Linked DNA regions of Canis lupus familiaris. Each later gene encodes a partner of the first gene's protein in a complex. Links are inferred from orthologs where the notes say so. Each region holds a gene or a part of one and is shown on either strand. Other genes may lie near its edges. The genes, in order: DRC1, DRC7, FBXL13, CCDC153 and IQCG.

Region 1 (3,516 bases):
ACGTATGAAAAGATAACCAGGTTTCTTTTAATAAGAGAAGTGCAAATTAAAACTGTCCAAATTCCATGTGCAACTGTCACATTGGCAAGACTGTGCGAGTTGATAGCACATAGTGATTGGCCGAAGCGTGGGAACCAGACAGGCTCCTAAGTTGCCGCTGTGAGAGCCAAATGTTGCAGCGTCCCTATGGATGACTTCACCATGTACTCTATACCCTGCAGTTCTCCTAGGATTTCACTCTGCAGCTATGTCTCAATACATTTGAAAGGATGTGTTTATTGTAGCTCATTGGTTGCAGCATTGCTAGAAGTGGGAGAAGATTGAAAACAATCTACAATTCCATCGTGAAAGAATTCATTGTTCAGGGGAACAAGCCAAACCTCCTGCTCTTAGGAGCTGTGGTGAATCTACATAGTGGAATACTATGCACCGGTAAAAAAAAAAAAACAAAAAAGTTCTTTACGTATTTATGCGAAAACATCCCTAAGGTTTATTGTGAAACATGTAAAGTGCAGAACTGTGTGTGTCATAGAGCATCATTCCTGTGACAACGGGAGGGAAGGCGTTGCTTGTAGGGACATAGTATTTCTTTGGAAGGATACGTAAGAAACTGATGACATTGGTTTACCTTGGCATCTGTCACCCCCACAGGAGCAAACAAGCCTGATGTCGGCACTGGAGCCAGGAGAGAAGAGAGACCTTGAGGAACAGAAGGAGGAAAGCCTTGGGGAAGGGGAGGCAGAAGAGAAGGAGCATCCCCCTTCTCCCATGCTCATCCACCCCAACGATGTCCTCAAGATCCTGGAGGCCTTTGTCATGGGTCTGAAGAAGCCCAGGTGTGGTGCTGGAGGGCTTGCTTGAAGCGGGCTGGGCAGAGGCCATGCAGATGCTATAGTCTGAGTGTGGAGGTTGCAGGACAGGAACCTGGGTGGGGAGGAGAGGCTGGTCCTCGGGAGGGCTGGAGGAATCGGGGGACAAGTGGACATGAAGGAAAGAAATAGGCGTAGAAGTGATTTTCTCATTCATCATTCATTCAACAGTCACTGGGGTCTGCTGGGTGTGGGCCCTGTGGAGGGAGCGCTTGGTTATCAGAAAATGGGCAGAGCATAACAAGGTGTCACGTCACTTGGGAGAGGCAGTGGCTTCCCCATCTGGCATGTCCGAGAGGGGTTTAGGCACCCAAACTGGGTTTTCCTGGGTGGATTAAGTGGGAGGAAAGGGCACTTCAGGGTGTCACAGTATGGGGAAAGGCCTGGTATATTCCAGAATCGTGGCAGAGAGGTGTGGCTAGTGTCAGGGTCTTCCCTGGGAAGTGAGACCAGTGGGCAGGGGAGCCAGGCAAGGAGAGCCTTGCTCGCCGTGCCCAAGATCTTTGTCTTTGTCCTTTAGTGGCCCGGAGCCAGAGCATGGTTTTAAGCAGTGGAGGCGCCATGGTTGGGCTTGCATTTTGCAAAGATCCCTTTGGTGGTGGGGAGGGGGCGGTGATGCCAGATACAGGAGAGCAGCTGAAAGGTTTGTCCTGGTGGAGTTGATGATATCCTGGATCAAGGCTATCCTTGAGGGGATGCCGAATTCTGAGAGGTGTTTTGGATGCATTAGTGAAAGAACTGGGCATAGTAGCGGGATATAAAGTCAGTGAGGTAAACTGACTGAGAGAAAGGGGATGACAAAAGCGACAATGGCACCAGGAGTCAGGAATGCTGAGGGCAGTCATGTGCACTTTCTGAGAATTGGCCATAAGCCGGTAGACTCACGAAGCTGAGTGGGAAGGTGACTGGTGGACAAGCAGAGTCTGTGAGGGACAGGCACTGTGACTAGCCCCACGTGGGGACCTGGGGGGTGCCAGGTGGCGATGATGATACTGTTGCTCTTAACCTTCAGGGACTCCCGGGCACCAGTGAAGTTGAAGCATGTGCGAGATGACTCGAAGGACTCTGAGTATTGGGAGGCCCTGACCACAGTTATCTCTGATACCACGCAGAACCTCTGGGACGCTCTGTACACAGCTTTGGAGAAGTATCAGTGAGTGTGCATGTCATAGCCCAGGAGAAGGAGGGGCCCAGCCAGTTGGTGGAGGAGGATTCTGCTTGCAGTGGCCAGTTTGCCACCTCCCTGACTTGGAGAGAAAAGCTGCCTTTGGAGGGAAAGGTCCTGTTGAAGGGGCATGTGGTATTGTTGGGTGGCTGGTCCTCTGGCTTCCTATTCTGTTCCTGCTAGCCTGGTTTGTTTTGGGCAGGGAGGTTGCTCTGGGGTCAGGCTTCTGGAATCCTCTTCCACCTCTAAACAGACCAGAAACACAGAGATCCTGGTCCCTACTTGGCAGAGGATGCAGGATTCAATGAGCCTCTAACTGATTTTTCCACCCAAAGCCTCATCCTGACCCAGAGGGCCACGCTGCTGATAGAAAACAACTCTCTGGAGCAGCAGAACACAGAGCTCCAGATGCTGCTTCAACAGTATCTAGATTCCAAGGTGGGTGACGGACCCTCCAAGGACGGTAGGCAGGCGGCCAAGGGAGGCAGTGGGGCTGGAGCTGATATTAGGAAATGAGTCTCTTTCCTCACCAGAAGCAAGGGAGCATTGAGGTGTGACATAAAGTATCAACAGTCATACCTGAGGTTGGGACAGAATTATTGGGCAAGGGAATGGACAATCCTAAAGCCTTCTCTGAGATGTTTGGGCTGTGAGAGTGCCCCTTTCATACCCATGGTCTTTGGCACAAGCTGCTTGTTGGACTATTCTTGGAAGCAGTGCCAAAGCTCACGATGGCTTCATAGCCCACAGAACCCTTCCTTATGAATTTTCTTCTTTGTCTTAACAACCCCTCTGTGAGGTCAATAGGGCATAGATGATTCTCCCAAAAAGGAGAATCAAGACTGGGTGACTCTGTGACATGCCCAGAGCCCTGGGCTCTTCCCATATTACTGACCCAGGTTGTCCGGCCTGGGATGTAACACGGTGAGAGGAGGCGCCAACTGGGATAGATATTTGCTGGCCCCCATTCTTGCCCGCTCCAGTGTGGTTGGGGCAACTGTTCCCATGGCCTGCAGGAGAGGAAATCTCACTGCCTCTGCTCCAAAGATTAGAATCCACTCATAACACAGTTGGTGGCTCTGCTCTGCTAGTGTAGAATCTTTTACATGATGCTGAAGCCCTGGGCCAGGACAGCCTTAACACACTGGGCTGAGGGTAGGTTCTCCTCACCAGCGGTGTGTGTGAGAGGTGACTGAGGCCAGCCACAAGCCCCGGAACTGAGAATGTGGCCCCACCATGGTCTCAGGCCCCAGGCCACACCTGAGCAGAGGATGTGGTAAGCCTTGGTGTCGTGATGGCCTGTTGGCCTGTGATACACATTAGAGGACTATGTGGTCCGTGCTTTTGTCCACGCTGCTGTGTACAAGAAGATGGGGGGGGGGGGGAGGGAGGGGGAGGGCTAGACTGGTGATGGGATGCACAGGTGAGGGGGGGGGAGGGAGGATTTAAGAGAGTGGCTCAGAGCAGAAGGTTAAGAACATT
Region 2 (3,516 bases), on another chromosome or scaffold:
CTTTGGCACCCCTGGGGGAGCTAGCAGCCACTGTGGCTTGGCCCTGGGGGGGGCAAGACAGAGGCTCTGCCTCTAGCTTCCGCTCCAAGGCCCAGCCCTGACCAGAGCCTGCCCCCTCCCCACCTCTCCCAACAGGGCAAGGAGGATGAGGATAAGAGTTTCGACATGCCACCCTCATGGGTGGAGCAGATTGAGATCTCCCCAGAAGGTACATGCACATTTGTGTTCCTTGCCTCCCCAGGACCAGTTAGTGGGGGAGCCAGTGAAGGCTGCCCCAGCCCCTCATTTCCACCTCTCCTGCCTTCTGCTGTGCCCTGATGCACCCTGCTCTGAACAGTGTCTCTGTTCTATCTACTTCCCGCCACATGCACTCAGCTCTGTGGCTGGGGGCCTGACACCAGTCTGGTGTACGGGGGAGGAAGGGAGGGGTGCCAGGTTAACCTGTGCTAGGTGATGGAGTGTGGATAATAAAGGACGGAGGAGAGGGATCCCTGGGTGGCTCAGCGGTTTGGCACCTGCCTTCGGTCCAGGGTGTGATCCTGGAGTCCCGGGATCAAGTCCCACATCAGGTTCCCTGCATGGAGTCTGCTTCTCCCTCTGCCTGTGTCTCTGCCTCTCTCTCTCTCTCTCTCTCTCTCTCTCTCAGTCTGTGTCTCTCATGAATAAATAAATAAAATATTTTTAAAAATAAATAATAAAAAAATAAAGGACGGAGGACCAGGACGTGGTTGTTGCCCTCCCCCACCCCCCTGCCAGGAGGAGGCCAAACAGCATAGTACCCAGATGGCAGAGGGGAGCAGAGGCATCAGGACCAGGGAGGAGCAGCTCCCCAGGGAGGAGTAGGCAGAGAAAGCAGCAGGGAAGGGCCACTTGTGAGCCACGCCAACATCTACTGGCTGTTGAGGTTCCTGTCTGGGAGGCCTAGACCCACACGGAGGGCATAGGGTATTCCAACAGTGGGAAGGGCTAGAGAGGGCATCATGGGAACCAGGGGAGGAGTTCCCAGCCCAGCTGCCCGCTTGGGGACTGGGAGAAGGTGGGCAGGAAGGGCTTCCAAGAGGAGGAGGAGTCTGAGCAGGGTTTTAAGGGATCAGAAGCCAGCCCAGTAAGGGCAGGAGGGGATGGTGATTCCCGCAGAGAGACCTGCACAGGCAGAGGCCCAGCAGCGAGTGAGTGGTGTGGTAGGGCACAGCTCCCGTGGTCAGGCTCAAAGCTGAGAACTCCTCCAGGGCAGGAGCTACCCTGGTGACTACTTCCCTCTGTCTCCCTGGAGTGGGCTTGGGGCCTGGAGGAGTTTAGCACAGTGACCAGATGAGTGGCTGAGTGGGGTTGGCCCTCTAGTGCCCCAATCTGGGGAGGCGGGACCCCAGCCCACTCTGTGTCTGCAGCGTTCGAGACCCGCTGCCCCAGTGGGAAGAAGGTGATCCAGTACAAGAGGGCCAAGCTGGAGAAGTGGGCCCCATATCTCAACAACAATGGCCTCGTGTGCCGCCTCACCACCTACGAGGACTTGGAGTGTAAGGCGGGCAGCCCCGGCCGCGAGGGCAGGAGAGCTGGGTTCCCCAGTGGGCTATGTGACCTTGGGCACGTCCCTGCCAGGCACTTGTTGTGCGTGTGGGCCCCCGCTGACCTGTGTGCCGGGAAGGGTGGGACAGAGGCTGGGGGAGCCAGCCTGGCTGTGGCAAGTACTGATCGTGCCCTGCAGGTACCAAGACTTTGGAGATAAAGGAGTGGTACCAGAACCGGGAGGATATGCTAGAGCTAAAACACATCAACAAGAGCACAGGTCTGAATATCGACTACTTCAAGCCAGGCCATCCCCAGGCTCTGCGTGGTGAGTGGAACCCGCTGTCGGTCCCAGTGGGAGCCCAGGGTATGACAAGCAACATAAGCCCCCACCCCTGCCTCCCTAAGCAAACCAGATGTGCACGAGGCCAGGGGAAGTGCAGAAGATGTGACAAATGTCCCTCCAGGAAAGTCAAAACCAGGGCCACATGCCCATTCTGTGCTTAGGGCTAGGCACATGCTGAAGGCCACCTTTCTAAGGGGTCAGGACACAGAGCAACAAAACTAACAAATGCCCCCACAAGGGCGATGCGGAGGGCAGGGGTGTGGTCATGAGCCCAAGAGGCAGGGAAGTGAGGGAAGGATGTGTCTTGAAAGAATCAACAGCCCTAACCAAGGACACAGAGAAGAAAAGCCTAGTGTCATTATATATCCTTTAAAAATGATCAAACTCACTTGATGGCTGAAATGAAAGAAAAAGGAAGGAAGGAAGGAAGGAAGGAAGGAAGGAAGGAAGGAAGGAAGGAAGGAAGGAAGGAAGGAAGGAAGGAAGGAGCCGTTTTACAAACCTCATGTTGCGAAGATGACAAAATGGTCCTACCGGTGTGTAAGCAAAGCAGCAGAGAGTTGCTCCCTGTCACTGCTCATAGGACAGCAAACTGGCTCAACTTTTCGAGAAAGTAGTTGGGCAAAATAATAATAGCTTTAAAATACATACGCTTTTCGACCAGCTGTGCTACCTCTGAGAATTTGTCCTGAGCAAATACTGGGCAAGAACTAAAGAATGTTCACCCTGGTGTTGTTTCTAATGACAAAAAGGTGAGAAACAACCTGAACACCCAGCAGTGGGGCATTGGTTCCATAAGTCCTGCTCATCCGCGAGCATCCATGGACATGCCTTCTCCCTGGGGCCCGGGCCCGGGTTCTCAAGCCAGGGGCCAGCGCTCCTGGTCTCACCCCGCTGCCTTCCCGGCCCCCGCCTCCCACCACAGCGCACTCGTACGTGTCTATGCAACCCGAGATGGACCGGGTCATGGAGTTCTACGAGACAGCCCGTGTGGACGGCCTGGTAAAGCGGGAGGAGACGCCCAGCTCGATGACGGAGCACTACCGAGGACGGTCTGACTTCCTCTCCTACCGCCACGTGGATTTTGGGCCCAGGGTGAAGAAGTTGGCTCTGAACAGCGCAGAGTCAAACCCGCGGCCAGTGGTGGTGAGCTGTCGTTGGGGCAGGCACAGGGCGCCCGCTCTCTGCGGCAGCGCTGGAGCCACACCTTCAGGAGGGGGCACCTCCTGGTTATAAAGCGGGAGAGATTGTGCCCCCTGCCACTGTGCCATACGTGCACACTAGAACGGTGGCTCTCAGATACTACTGTGCCAGTGTCCATAGGCTTGGTTCTTGGGAGTCTTTTCTAACCTATTTGAGATGTGTGTGTGAGCGAAGGTAGGACCCCTGTATCGCTCACCTCACATTGAATCGGCCCTTTTCCCTCCACATCCCTGCAAATGACCTGGCAGCTGTGGCTAATGGCTGTCTACCCAAGGAGCTCTTCCCAGCAGGAAGGGATGTGTAGTGATAAAGCAGGGCGCCTGGCGAGGTGGTGAGCTCCCTATCTCTGGAGGTGAGCAAATAGAACCCTGTGCGGGAAGAGAAGAAATGCCGCAGCATCAGGGCTGAGGTGGCCCGGCTGAGGACCCACGGGGCCCTGGGGAGCCATCGGCGGCAGGAAG
Region 3 (3,516 bases), on another chromosome or scaffold:
AAAAAATTTTAAGTTGCAATCTTAACTTCTGAAAAATAGATAACAGGTGTGCCTGGGTATCTCAGTTAGTTGGGTGTCTGCCTTCAGCTTGGGTCATGACCCCAGGTTGCTGGGAGGGAGCCCTACATCCAGCTCTCTCCCTGCATGGAGCCTGCTTCTCCCTCTGCCTGCTGCTCCCCCTGCTTGTGCTCTCTCTCTCTGTCAAATAAATAGATGAAATCTCAAAAAAAAAGAAAAAAAATAGGTAAGAGACATATACAAAAAAATTACAAAATATATAAATGGTATGTGGTTCTTCCAGTCTGTTCCTGTCACCCTACTGCCCAGTGCAACCATTGCTCACATTTTCCTGTGTATCTTCTGGGGTTAGCCTTTGCATTCCATTTATTTCTAATGTTTGGTATTTCATTTATTTGTTTACTTTAGATGACTCCAGAACTGATGATAAAAGCATGTACTTTTTATACTGGACATTTAGTAAAGACTCACTTTTGGTAAGAAAATGATTTTTACATACTATTTATTTGTGTTTTTATTCTTAATATTCTCCACATGAAGAACTCATTTTTGGCCAGTTGTTCTGATTTTATCTATTTAATCATGTCTCCATCATTTTGCATTGTATATTTCTTGTATTTTTATTTGGCTTTTATTTAATTAAAATACGTTCTTTACTTCAAGGCATTGCTTTTTAAAAAAAAATAAAACTTCAAAATTGAAAGGATAAGTCTACAATATCTTCATCTGAAATCCTTGGAGATATGTTTTGAAATTTAGATTCCTTTTCTTAAAAATTTTTACAAAGGTAACTTCTGTACATTCTATATATTATATAACATCTTCAGTGGTGTTTGGGGCAGCATGTTGGAACCAAACATGTTCAAATATATTAGTATTTCTACTCTATATATTATGTATATGTATATAAAATGAAATGTATATGAAATAAAGTGGAAAAAAGACTGTGAACAGCTATGTGTTAAATCCAGGGAGGATTTTGATGCAAACTTACTTTAGTTTTTAAATTTTTATTTATTTATTTTAAAGATTTATTTATTTTAGAGACAGAAAGTGGGAGTGGGGGGTGGAGGGTGAGGGTGGACAGAGAGAGAGAGAGAATCTCAAGTCAAATCTGTGTGAATGTGGAGCCTGATACAGGGCTGGATCCCAGGACTGCAAGATCGTAAGTTGAGCCGAAATCCAAATTCGGATGCTCAACCAACTGAGCCGCTGAGGTACCCCAATGCAAAATTACTTTAGGTCAGGTCTAGTTTTGCCTCTAAATAGGTTACAACAAAAACTTCTGAATTTCAGATCTTTTCTGGGTTTTAGAAATGTAGCAAAAGGAAGAGCAAGCTCAAAGGAAATGCAAGGACTAGCTGGAAATAAAACAATAACAATAATTGAACAATAATTGAACAACCCCTATACTGTGGTTTTAGGGGAGACAAAGGAGGTATTATTACTCCTCTCCCTCTCCATTTATTAGTAATGTACTGCCATAATATCAAAATACTATTTTTCTGTACTTTCTGCCTATAGCATTTGGAGAGACATAGCAATACCTCTTATAAATGAAGAGAACATTCTAGCTGAAAAAATGGAAAAAGCAATAGAATATGACAATTTCAGACTTCAAAAATATGTATTTCGTCTTTGGCACTCTTATGCAGCAGGTCAAAAAAAACTACTTACAGGTAAATCTTTACATACTAGCAGTTGGTCTTTGTATTCGGGTATTCAAAGAATCAACACATTTAACAATTAAGCAGTTTGTACTAGAGAAGTTGTTATGATGTCTAGAGAACTGTCATGAAATGTAAAACCACTAATTTATTTTTTTTTTTTTTTTTTTTTTTTTTTTTTTTTTTTTTTATGATAGTCACAGAGAGAGAGAGAGAGGCAGAGACACAGGCAGAGGGAGAAGCAGGCTCCATGCACCGGGAGCCCGATGTGGGATTCGATCCCGGGTCTCCAGGATCGCGCCCTGGGCCAAAGGCAGGCGCCAAACCGCTGCGCCACCCAGGGATCCCTAAAACCACTAATTTAAAATATTTAATGAGATTTGTCTCAAAGGGTTTTTTTTAAAAAAAATATTTTATTATTTATTCATTCATGAGAGACACAGAGAGAGAGGCAGAGACACAGGCAGAGGGAGAAGCAGGCTCCATGCAGGGAGCCGGACATGGGACTTGATCCTGGGACTCCAGGATCAGGCCCTGGGCTGAAGGCGCTGCTAAACCGCTGAGCCACCCAGGCTGCCCTCAAAGGGTTTTATTGTAATAGAAAACAGGCATGTTTAAAATGAAATCCTATATGTATTTGTGTGATGTATGTACAAATATAAATATAAATAGGGATCTACTATCATCATTTTTACTCACAGAGAGCTGGTATATCACAGACAGGTACCGAAATGGACTATTTCTTGTAGAGAGTTTTCCATTCCTTACAGATGTTTCATTTAATGGATACATGAGGAAACAAAGAAAACAAATTTTCTTTTCCTTATACCCTTGATAACTGTAATGAATAGACAATGAATGTACATGATCTTTGGAATAGAAATAGGGAACTCCAGCCTTTTGCTCAGAATTTAGCCACTTCACCAGATACTGGTTTATGGCTGCTGCAAACCAGAGAATCATTTCCTCTTGATATCTCAGTTACAGTGAGCCCTCTGAAGGTTTTTGTTTTGTTTTGTTTTATTTTTTAGAGAGGAAAAGAGAGAGAGCAAGCACACATGGGAGCATGGGGGGTGAGGGGGGGAGAAGTGGCTTAGGAAGAGGGAGAGAGAGAATCTTAAGCAGACTCCATGCCCAGCACAGGGCAGAGGATGGGACTCAATCTCATGACCCTGAGATTACAACCTGAGCTGAAATGAAGAGTCGGAAACTTAACTGATTGAGCCACCCAGGTGCCCTCTGAAGGTTTTAACATAAGATTGATGGGCCTCTAATTCTGAGAAGAAACAATTGGCTGCAGCTTAGAAGCCACAGTCTTCTTAAGTGGTGTCCCTGGGGCCTGCCCTTAGTCATCCTCCTTTCTGGCCTGGCTCATATGTTTGAGCTTTGGGATCCTTGGTTAAAACACAAAATGGAGCAGTTTATTTAATCATAGGGCATTCAACTAAATCAGAATACCACCTGATAATTGTATTTCTATGAATAAGTTTGGATGTTCTGGTTTTATAAAAAACAGAGTTGATTAAAAAATGAAATTATATGTATCATATATGTCTTGATGTGTTATTACATCTATTATATATTAAAATTTTTTTAAAGGTTCTATTTATTTATTTGAAAGAGAATGAGATAGCGAAAGAGCACGAGCAGGGGGGAAGGGCAGAGGGAGAGGGAGAAACACACCCCCTCAAGCAGGGAGCCCGACTCAGGGCTCGATCTCAACACCCCAAGATCATGATCTGAGCCAAAGGCAGATGCTTAACCACCTGAGCCACACAGATACCCCTACATCTTAATTTCTAAGGGCAAAGGTGATGTTTACAGGTTAATA
Region 4 (4,216 bases), on another chromosome or scaffold:
CACAGCGGCCCAGGCCCGAGGCAGCTGCCGGCCCTGGCCAGGGGAGGACTCACTCCCCGCGTGGAACAGAAATGCAGTTCCCAGTCATTTCCACTTCTCTAATCTAAAAAGTTCTGTTGGAAAAACTCTGAAAAAAAAAAGGGGAACTTTTCTTCCAAAAGAAGGAAGTGCCCTGCCCTGATTTGCTAATTCTGAGCCTCCTCTTTGGGAGCTTGCAGGCTCTAGCGTGTCTGTTAAATGCTCAATTCTGTCTTAGATCCCCTACCTGGGTCTTCCACAAAGCCCTTAACTGATTAAGGAATTAAGTGTATCATGTGCTCCTGGCATAGAGGGGAGAAAAATCTCTCTGAACTCAAGGACTCATAAGCCAGACATCCTTGCTTTGAAATTCAATGGCCTTTATCTAAGATTGATTATGGAGTCAACATTATCGTTTACTATCAGAATTTCCTCTTATCAGTTCCTGCCTAGAAAGAGAAGAAATCTTTAAAAAAAAAGAGAGAGAGAGAGAGAGAGAGAGAGAAGAAATCTCCCAAAGGAAAATCTAGGCAAGGCTCTAAGATAACTGTCAAAACTGGGGGCACCTGGGTGGCTCAGTGGTTGAGCATCTGCCTTTGGCTCATGGTGCCAGGGGTCCTGGGGTGGAGTCCCACTTCAGGCTTCCCACAGGAAGCCTGCTTCTCTTCTCCCTCTGCCTATGTTTCTGCCTCTCTCTCTGTCTCTCATGAATAAATAAATAATTTTTAAAAATAATAATAAAAATAAATTTCACTAACTGTTCATTCTCACAGGTACCACATTTATTTATGCTATGCTATTTCATTGACTTTGGTCTTCTGGGGTACCTAACACGTTGTAGGTACACAGGGTATTTTTCCCCCTCATCATCAAATGCTAGATTTACTGGAGTAACAGGTAAGAAATTAACCCTTGGGCCTATATGAGTTCATCTGGTTCATCTACACATCTCTGGCTTCCTTTAAGCCTTCCAATTTGTATTATCTTCGGCACCACCTGGATAGAGTGTAACTGTATAATTTGTACTTTGTTTCTGCTTGCAGAAGCTGTATCTCTGGTGGCGCCTGGGTGACTCAGTCGGTTAAGCCCTGGACTCTGGATTTCAGCTCAGGTCATGATGACAGAGTCGTGAGGTCAAGCCCTGTATTGGGCTTACACTGGGTATAGAGCCTGCTTAAGATTCCCTCTCTTTGGGATCCCTGGGTGGCTCAGTGGCTTAGTGTCTGCCTTTAGCCCAGGGCATGATCCTGGGGACCCAGGATCGAGTCCCACATCAGGCTCCCTGCATGGAGCCTGCTTCTCCCTCTGCCTGTGTCACTGCCTCTCTGTGTCTCTCATGAATAAATAAATAAGTCTTTAAAAAAAAAAAAGATTCCCTCTCTTCCCTTCCCTCCTCTCAAAAAAGAAAAAAATACATACTTTTTTTTAAGATTTATTTATTTGAGAGAGAGAGAGAGAATGTGCATGGCACACACAAGTGGAGCAAGTGAATGGAGGGGCAGAGAATCTCCCGCAAACTCCATCTGCACTGAGCTCATGATCCAAGGAGGGGCTCAATCTCACCACCCTGAGATGAGGACTTGAGCCCAAATCAGGAGTCAGATGCCTAACTGTGCCACCCAGGTGCCCTATCAAAATTTTTTTTTAAAGCCACATTTCTTTAAATATACAAATAAACTCTCTCTCGCATTTGAATAAAGCAGAGGGAGTGACAGTTCTTTCCTCTATATCTCTTCAAAACTCCCAGATGGAATCCTATTCAAAGGAGGACAGAGTTCTGCTGAGATGATCTTTCTTATTTTTCACTTCTAATCTGAAGTTAATGAAAAAAAGAAGGAAAGATTGACCTTCCCCCCAACCACCACAATTTTTACTTGGCTTGTTTTCAAAGCATACTGAGGATGGGGATTGGATTGTTGATCACAATGTCATTCGCATTCTTGGGTCATTCTAGATCTGGCTCAGTTTGTATCATCACATCATGTGACATGGGGCACTTTTCTTCTTCCATTTCACCTTCACCCAAACCACATCCTCATTCTGCACCTGAAAGTCGGTTGACTGAACATATTTGAAAAGTAAATCCTCTTCTGAGGCGTGATATGTTGTTTGTATTCTGTAAACTCTGTCCTCAAAATGTCATCGCATGCATCAGCACAATGCAGAAACCAATCATTCCCTGAAAAGTGACCCCAAACAGGCTTCTAGATGAGGAGAGGACTGTGGTGGGAACCTCTCCTGCATTCCTATGCAGAGGAAAGAGTTCTGAGGGGAGAATAAATGAAACACACTTCAAGATGAGAAGAAAAGTATTCTCCAGATTTGGGAGTTGTGAACAAAGTTATCTGACCCTACATTACGGGAACTATAAGCCCCAGAAAAGGCAAGTATTCTTCTCTATACTCTGTAAAATCTCTCAAGCATCAGAGAAGTACCCAGCAGCCACCAAGGTGACAAATAAGCATAAATCAGCCCCATCTGAATCTCTCCACTCCCCAGGGAAAGGATTTTTAAAACCCAGATCGCAAAGCTATTTCTTCAGATCTGCTCCTGAGGACAGGCAATTGACCAAAAATGTTGAGGGGGACAGAGATTGAGAGAAATAACAAGAGAATCTGCAGGTTCCTTGATCCACAAAGGGAAAATCCCTGATGTTTTTTGCTGTTTTCATTCTAGCAAGTGTATGGTTCCCAGAGATCCAGGCAGCAGACAGATGAAAAAGCTCCAGAATAACTAACACAGGGCTGGAGGAGAGAGGGTTGGGGGTTGCCTAACAAGGACAAGTCACCCATCATACTCCCTTCCCCAGAACCATTTTTCCAACCACTCATGCCCCAGCAAGAGGCTAGGAAGTATCCCCTAGAGAGAGGCACTCCCAACATGGCCCAATAATTTTTTTTTATTTTTATTTATTTATGATAGTCACAGAAAGAGAGAGAGAGAGAGACGCAGAGGGAGAAGCAACCGGGAGCCCGATGTGGGATTCGATCCCGGATCTCCAGGATCACGCCCTGGGCCAAAGGCAGGCGCCAAACCGCTGCGCCACCCAGGGATCCCATGGCCCAATAATTTAAGTAGAAAAATTGAGGAGACTCCTGAGGTCAAGCAAGTCCACTAGAGGGAGCCCCGACCAACTCAATTCTACATGAAGCCTAGCAAAGGAGTTTCGCAGCACCTGACTGAAAACCAGCCACAGAAGGGAATAGAGGAAGAGAGGCAATAAATTAAGTCCCCGCAAGGGAAGATGGCCCTGTGAATTCCCAGTTAAAACCCAGCCCTTTTAGGATTTACCAAATCAAAGACTTAAAGACCAGGAAACTAAGGGGTACCTGGGTGGCTCAGTGGTTGAGTGTCTGCCTTTGGCTCAGGGCGTGATCCTGGGGTCCTGGAATCAAGTCCTGCATGGGGCTCCCCACAGGGAGCCTGCTTCTCCCTCTGCCTATGTCTCTGCCTCTCTCTGCGTGTCTCTCATGAATAAATAAATAAAATCTTTAAAATATATATAATAAAAACTAGGAAACTGAGGTTGAGCAAAATTAAACAACTGACCCAAGTTTACGTAACTGGAGGGAGGACTAGAACTCATGGCTCTTGTCTCCCACTACTACCCTTTCTTCTACATCTGCAGCCCTTTATGTCAGCACCCTGGAGTCTGTGGGTCCTCCTCTCCTCTGTGTCTCCTCTCTCCAAACTGAGAAACTCTCTCAGCTGCCTTCTCCTGCATTTCTTTCGCTCACACACTCTAGAATACCTCCCTGAGGCCTAATAATGGCACTTGCTCATGAGCCCTAGTGATGTAAATCGCCCAAGATGGCTACTGTCAGCTCTTTTCCTGTTTCAGCATTTTCCTGTGACAGCATCGTATCAGATATGGAAATCTGTAACTTCTCAGTCTCCAGACTTCAGGCAGTGCTACATGGAAATGAAGCATGGCTAACCAGCTCTGAAGCCCTTTCCCCTCCAACTACACTGAGGATTTACGGATAGGAGAGAGTGGACTCTCCAGAACCTTGCTGTCTTTTTTTTTTTTAATAATAAATTTATTTTTTATTGGTGTTCAATTTGCCAACATACAGAATAACACCCAGTGCTCATCCCGTCAAGTGCCCCCCTCAGTGCCCGTCACCCATTCACCCCCACCCCTAAGAACCTTGCTGTCTTAAGCTTTGTGCTTGGCACATACCACCCTTCTATGAGC
Region 5 (3,516 bases), on another chromosome or scaffold:
GTTTTTGTTGTTTATTTTCAAATGAGTGGGTACTGAATTTTGCCTAATACCTTTTTTGCATCTATTGCGATAGCCATATGGTTTGTTTCCTTTTGCTTTTGTTTTTGTTTTGTTTTGTTTTAAAAGATTTTATTTATTCATGAGAGACACAGAGAGAGAGAGAGGCAGAGACACAGGCAGAGGGAGAAGCAGGCTCCATGCAGGGGGCCCAATGTGGGACTGGATCCTGGGACTCCAGGATCATGCCCTAAGCCAAAGTAGATGGCAGACGCTCAACCACTGAACCACCCAGTCGTCCCTCCTTTTGCTTTTGTTTATGTGATGAATTCTATTAATAGATTTTCTAATGCTAAACTATTCTTGCATTCCAGGAATAATTCCAGCTAGTCATGCTTTTTATCCTGGGTCTTAACCTGTGTGACTTCTGTAGCCCTTTGTATATATACTTTATTAACTCATCCTTTTGTGTCTCCTTACAGGCAATTTTTCAGTGATATAATTACAAAGACCATGCAGGAGTTAGAAGAGTCAGGCACTTTCACCAGTCTTCTGGAAGCTCTGGGCAAAGAAAGAGAAAACAAAATGCATTTCTATGATATCATTGCCAGGTCCGAGTAATATGTTTATTTGCTGTGTTGTATTTTAAAGTGCTATTAGCCTTTCCTAGAAGTCCTTGATTTCTAAAGCAAATCAAATTTGTGATTTCCAGGGAAGGTAAATAGACCTCAGAAATTTAGGTGCTAATTCAGATTTCTGGGCTTTAGTTATGTGTATCTATAATATGTCAAAAGTATTCTTCCAAAAAAAAAAAAGTATTATTCCTATTGTATAGTAATCTTTCTTTTTTTAAAAAAAAAAAAGTGAATTTCAGTTAGTTAACATTATTTAGTAGTATTATTTTCAGGTGTACAATATAGTGATTCACCACTTCCATGCAATACTCGTGCTTATCATGATAATTGTACTCCTTAATCTACATCATCTGTTTAACCCATATCCCCCTCCTCTGGCAACCATCACTTTGTTCTCTATAGTTAAGAGTCTGTTTCTTAGTTTGTTTTCCTCTTTTTTTCCTTTGCTTGTTCATTTGTTTTTTCCTTAAATTCCACATATGAATGAAATCATATGGTGTTTGTCTTTCTCTGACTGACTTATTTTGCTTAGCATTACACTCTCTAGTTCCATCCATGTTGTTGCAAATGGCAAGATTTCATCTTGTTTATGGCCAAATAATATTCCATTGTAGACATACCACATATTCTTAACCAACTGAGCCACCCAGGTGCCCCTATACCACATATTCTTTATCCATTTTTTAATCAATGGACACTTGGGCTGCTTCCATACTTGGCTACTGTAAATGATGCTGCTACAAATGTAGAGATGCATGTATCCCTCTGAATTAGTGTTTTTGTATTCTTTGGGTGAAAACCTAGTAGTGTGATTACTGGATTGTAGGGTAGTTCCATTTTTAACTTTTTAAAGAAACTCCATACTGTTTTCCACAGTGGCTCTATCAATTTGCATTCCCACAAAGAGTGCAAAGGGTTCTGTTTTTCTCCACATCTTCAGCCAACACCTGTTGTTTCTTGTGTTGTTGATTTTAGCCATTCTGACAGATGTGAAGTGATATCTCATTATAGTTTTGATGTGTATTTCCCTAATGATAGGTAAGTTTTGATGAACATCTTTTCATGTGTCTAGTAGCCATCTGGTGTCTTCTCTGGAGAAATCTCTGTTCATGTCTTCTGCCTATTTTTTAACTGGATTATTTTTAGGGGTGTAGAGTTTTATAAGTTTTTTGTATATTTTGGGTACCAACCCTTTATCAGAAATGTCATTTGCGGGCAGCCCCCGTGGCTCAGCGGTTTAGCACTGCCTTCAGCCCAGGGCCTGATCCTGGAGACCCGGGATCGAGTCCCACGTCAGGCTCCCTGCATGGAGCCTGCTTCTCCCTCTGCCTGTGTCTCTGCCTCTCTCTCTCTCTGTCTCTCATGAATAAAGAAATTTTAAAAATCTTAAAAAAAAAAAAGATTTAAAGTATTGTTTACAAAGTTATAATAACGGGGGAAATGTTTATGTCACAATTTTAAGTTGAAAAAGAAAGGCTGGAAATAATAAAGTATTATCCCATCTATATAATAAAACTGAAAAAAAAAACATGAATAGAAAATGAAAACTAGGGGATCCCTGGGTGGCTCAGCAGTTTAGCACCGCCTTCAGCCCAGGATGTGGTCCTGGAGTCCCGGGATCGAGTCCCACCTCGGGCTCCCAGCATGGAGCCTGCTTCTCCCTCTGCCTGTGTCTCTGCCTCTCTCTCTCTCTCTCTCATGAATAAATAAATAAAATCTTTAAAAAAAAAAAAAAGAAAAGAAAATGAAAACTGAAAGGGAATATACCAGTGTGTTAATAATTTGGCTGTTTTTTTAAAAAAAAATCTTCAGTATTTTCTAAGTCTTCACCTTACTAAGAGAGAAAATAAACTTATGTTCTCAAAGATTTTATTTATTTATTTGAGAGAGAGTGAGGAGGGGGAGGAGCAGAGAGAGGGAGAAGCAGACTCCATGCTGAGCATGGAGCCTGTCGTGGGGCTCGATCCCATGACCCTGAGATCATGACCTGAGCCAAAACATGCGTTAGATGCTCAACTGACTGAGCCACCCAGATGCCTCTTGTAAATAAACTTATTAACCAAAAAACTAAATAAAATACATATACTCTTTGACCCAACATTTCTACTTTGAAAATATAGGAAAAAATTAGCTCATATTATATATATATATACACAAAATATTCATTGTAGCATAATGGTAAAAATCTAGAATTGTATAAATGTCCTTTAATAAAGGAATTCTTGAATAGTTGTTAATTTTAGGAAATAAGAAACATGCAGCTGTTAAAAAGAATAAATTAGAGGCGCACCTGAGTAGGTCAGTCAGTTGAGCATCCAACTCTTGATTTGAATAAATGAGAGCTCTATGATTGATCAGAGGAATTTTCTTCATATGCAGATAAATGGAAAAAGCTACAGTATTATGTGTATAATATAAATTTTTATCTTTTTTTTTTTTTAAGTAGGCTTCATGCCTAGTGTTGAGCCCAACATTGGGCTTGAACTCATGACCCTGAGATCAACACCTGAGCTGAGATCAAGGCAGCTGAATCACTCAGGTGCCTCTGCAATATGATTAAAAAAAAAATCTCATCCATATATGTAAGAACATAGAGAAAGATGTGGGAGGATATACATCAAAAGATTTAACATTGCTTACTTCACAGGAGGGAATTGGACGGGATTCCTATTCAGTTTTGAAATAATTCCTATTCAGTTTTGAAATATTACAATATGCACTTGTTACTTAGTGATTTCAAAAAAAGCTAATCAAGTAAGAAAAAGAAAAAAGAAAAATATGTACTACTATTTGGAAGGGAGAAGATAATCTCAATGTAGATAGTTTGCTAGTGATTGATTTTCCATATGATTACATAGTGATCATGTATGATAATCTCTTCTTT

What was found.
Region 2: DRC1 (region 1) and DRC7 share a complex: the UniProt entries of both Homo sapiens proteins name them as parts of the nexin-dynein regulatory complex. The link is inferred for Canis lupus familiaris from reciprocal best matches to the Homo sapiens genes DRC1 and DRC7.
Region 3: DRC1 (region 1) and FBXL13 share a complex: the UniProt entries of both Homo sapiens proteins name them as parts of the nexin-dynein regulatory complex. The link is inferred for Canis lupus familiaris from reciprocal best matches to the Homo sapiens genes DRC1 and FBXL13.
Region 4: DRC1 (region 1) and CCDC153 share a complex: the UniProt entries of both Homo sapiens proteins name them as parts of the nexin-dynein regulatory complex. The link is inferred for Canis lupus familiaris from reciprocal best matches to the Homo sapiens genes DRC1 and DRC12.
Region 5: DRC1 (region 1) and IQCG share a complex: the UniProt entries of both Homo sapiens proteins name them as parts of the nexin-dynein regulatory complex. The link is inferred for Canis lupus familiaris from reciprocal best matches to the Homo sapiens genes DRC1 and DRC9.

The regions. Positions count from the first base shown.
Region 1 is NC_049238.1:20,579,908-20,583,423, forward strand, and holds part of DRC1 (dynein regulatory complex protein 1), read left to right. Parts: intron 1-651; coding exon 652-836; intron 837-1,881; coding exon 1,882-2,022; intron 2,023-2,369; coding exon 2,370-2,472; intron 2,473-3,516. UniProt on the Homo sapiens protein: Component of the nexin-dynein regulatory complex (N-DRC) a key regulator of ciliary/flagellar motility which maintains the alignment and integrity of the distal axoneme and regulates microtubule sliding in motile axonemes.
Region 2 is NC_049223.1:58,032,849-58,036,364, reverse strand, and holds part of DRC7 (dynein regulatory complex subunit 7), read left to right. Parts: intron 1-135; coding exon 136-208; intron 209-1,388; coding exon 1,389-1,517; intron 1,518-1,705; coding exon 1,706-1,834; intron 1,835-2,777; coding exon 2,778-2,998; intron 2,999-3,516. UniProt on the Homo sapiens protein: Component of the nexin-dynein regulatory complex (N-DRC) a key regulator of ciliary/flagellar motility which maintains the alignment and integrity of the distal axoneme and regulates microtubule sliding in motile axonemes.
Region 3 is NC_049239.1:17,323,164-17,326,679, forward strand, and holds part of FBXL13 (dynein regulatory complex subunit 6), read left to right. Parts: intron 1-426; coding exon 427-494; intron 495-1,542; coding exon 1,543-1,697; intron 1,698-3,516. UniProt on the Homo sapiens protein: Substrate-recognition component of the SCF (SKP1-CUL1-F-box protein)-type E3 ubiquitin ligase complex.
Region 4 is NC_049226.1:14,703,663-14,707,878, forward strand, and holds the start of CCDC153 (coiled-coil domain-containing protein 153), read left to right. Parts: upstream 1-1,400; 5' UTR 1,401-4,210; coding exon 4,211-4,216. UniProt on the Homo sapiens protein: Component of the nexin-dynein regulatory complex (N-DRC), a key regulator of ciliary/flagellar motility which maintains the alignment and integrity of the distal axoneme and regulates microtubule sliding in motile axonemes.
Region 5 is NC_049254.1:29,454,211-29,457,726, forward strand, and holds part of IQCG (dynein regulatory complex protein 9), read left to right. Parts: intron 1-479; coding exon 480-608; intron 609-3,516. UniProt on the Homo sapiens protein: Component of the nexin-dynein regulatory complex (N-DRC), a key regulator of ciliary/flagellar motility which maintains the alignment and integrity of the distal axoneme and regulates microtubule sliding in motile axonemes.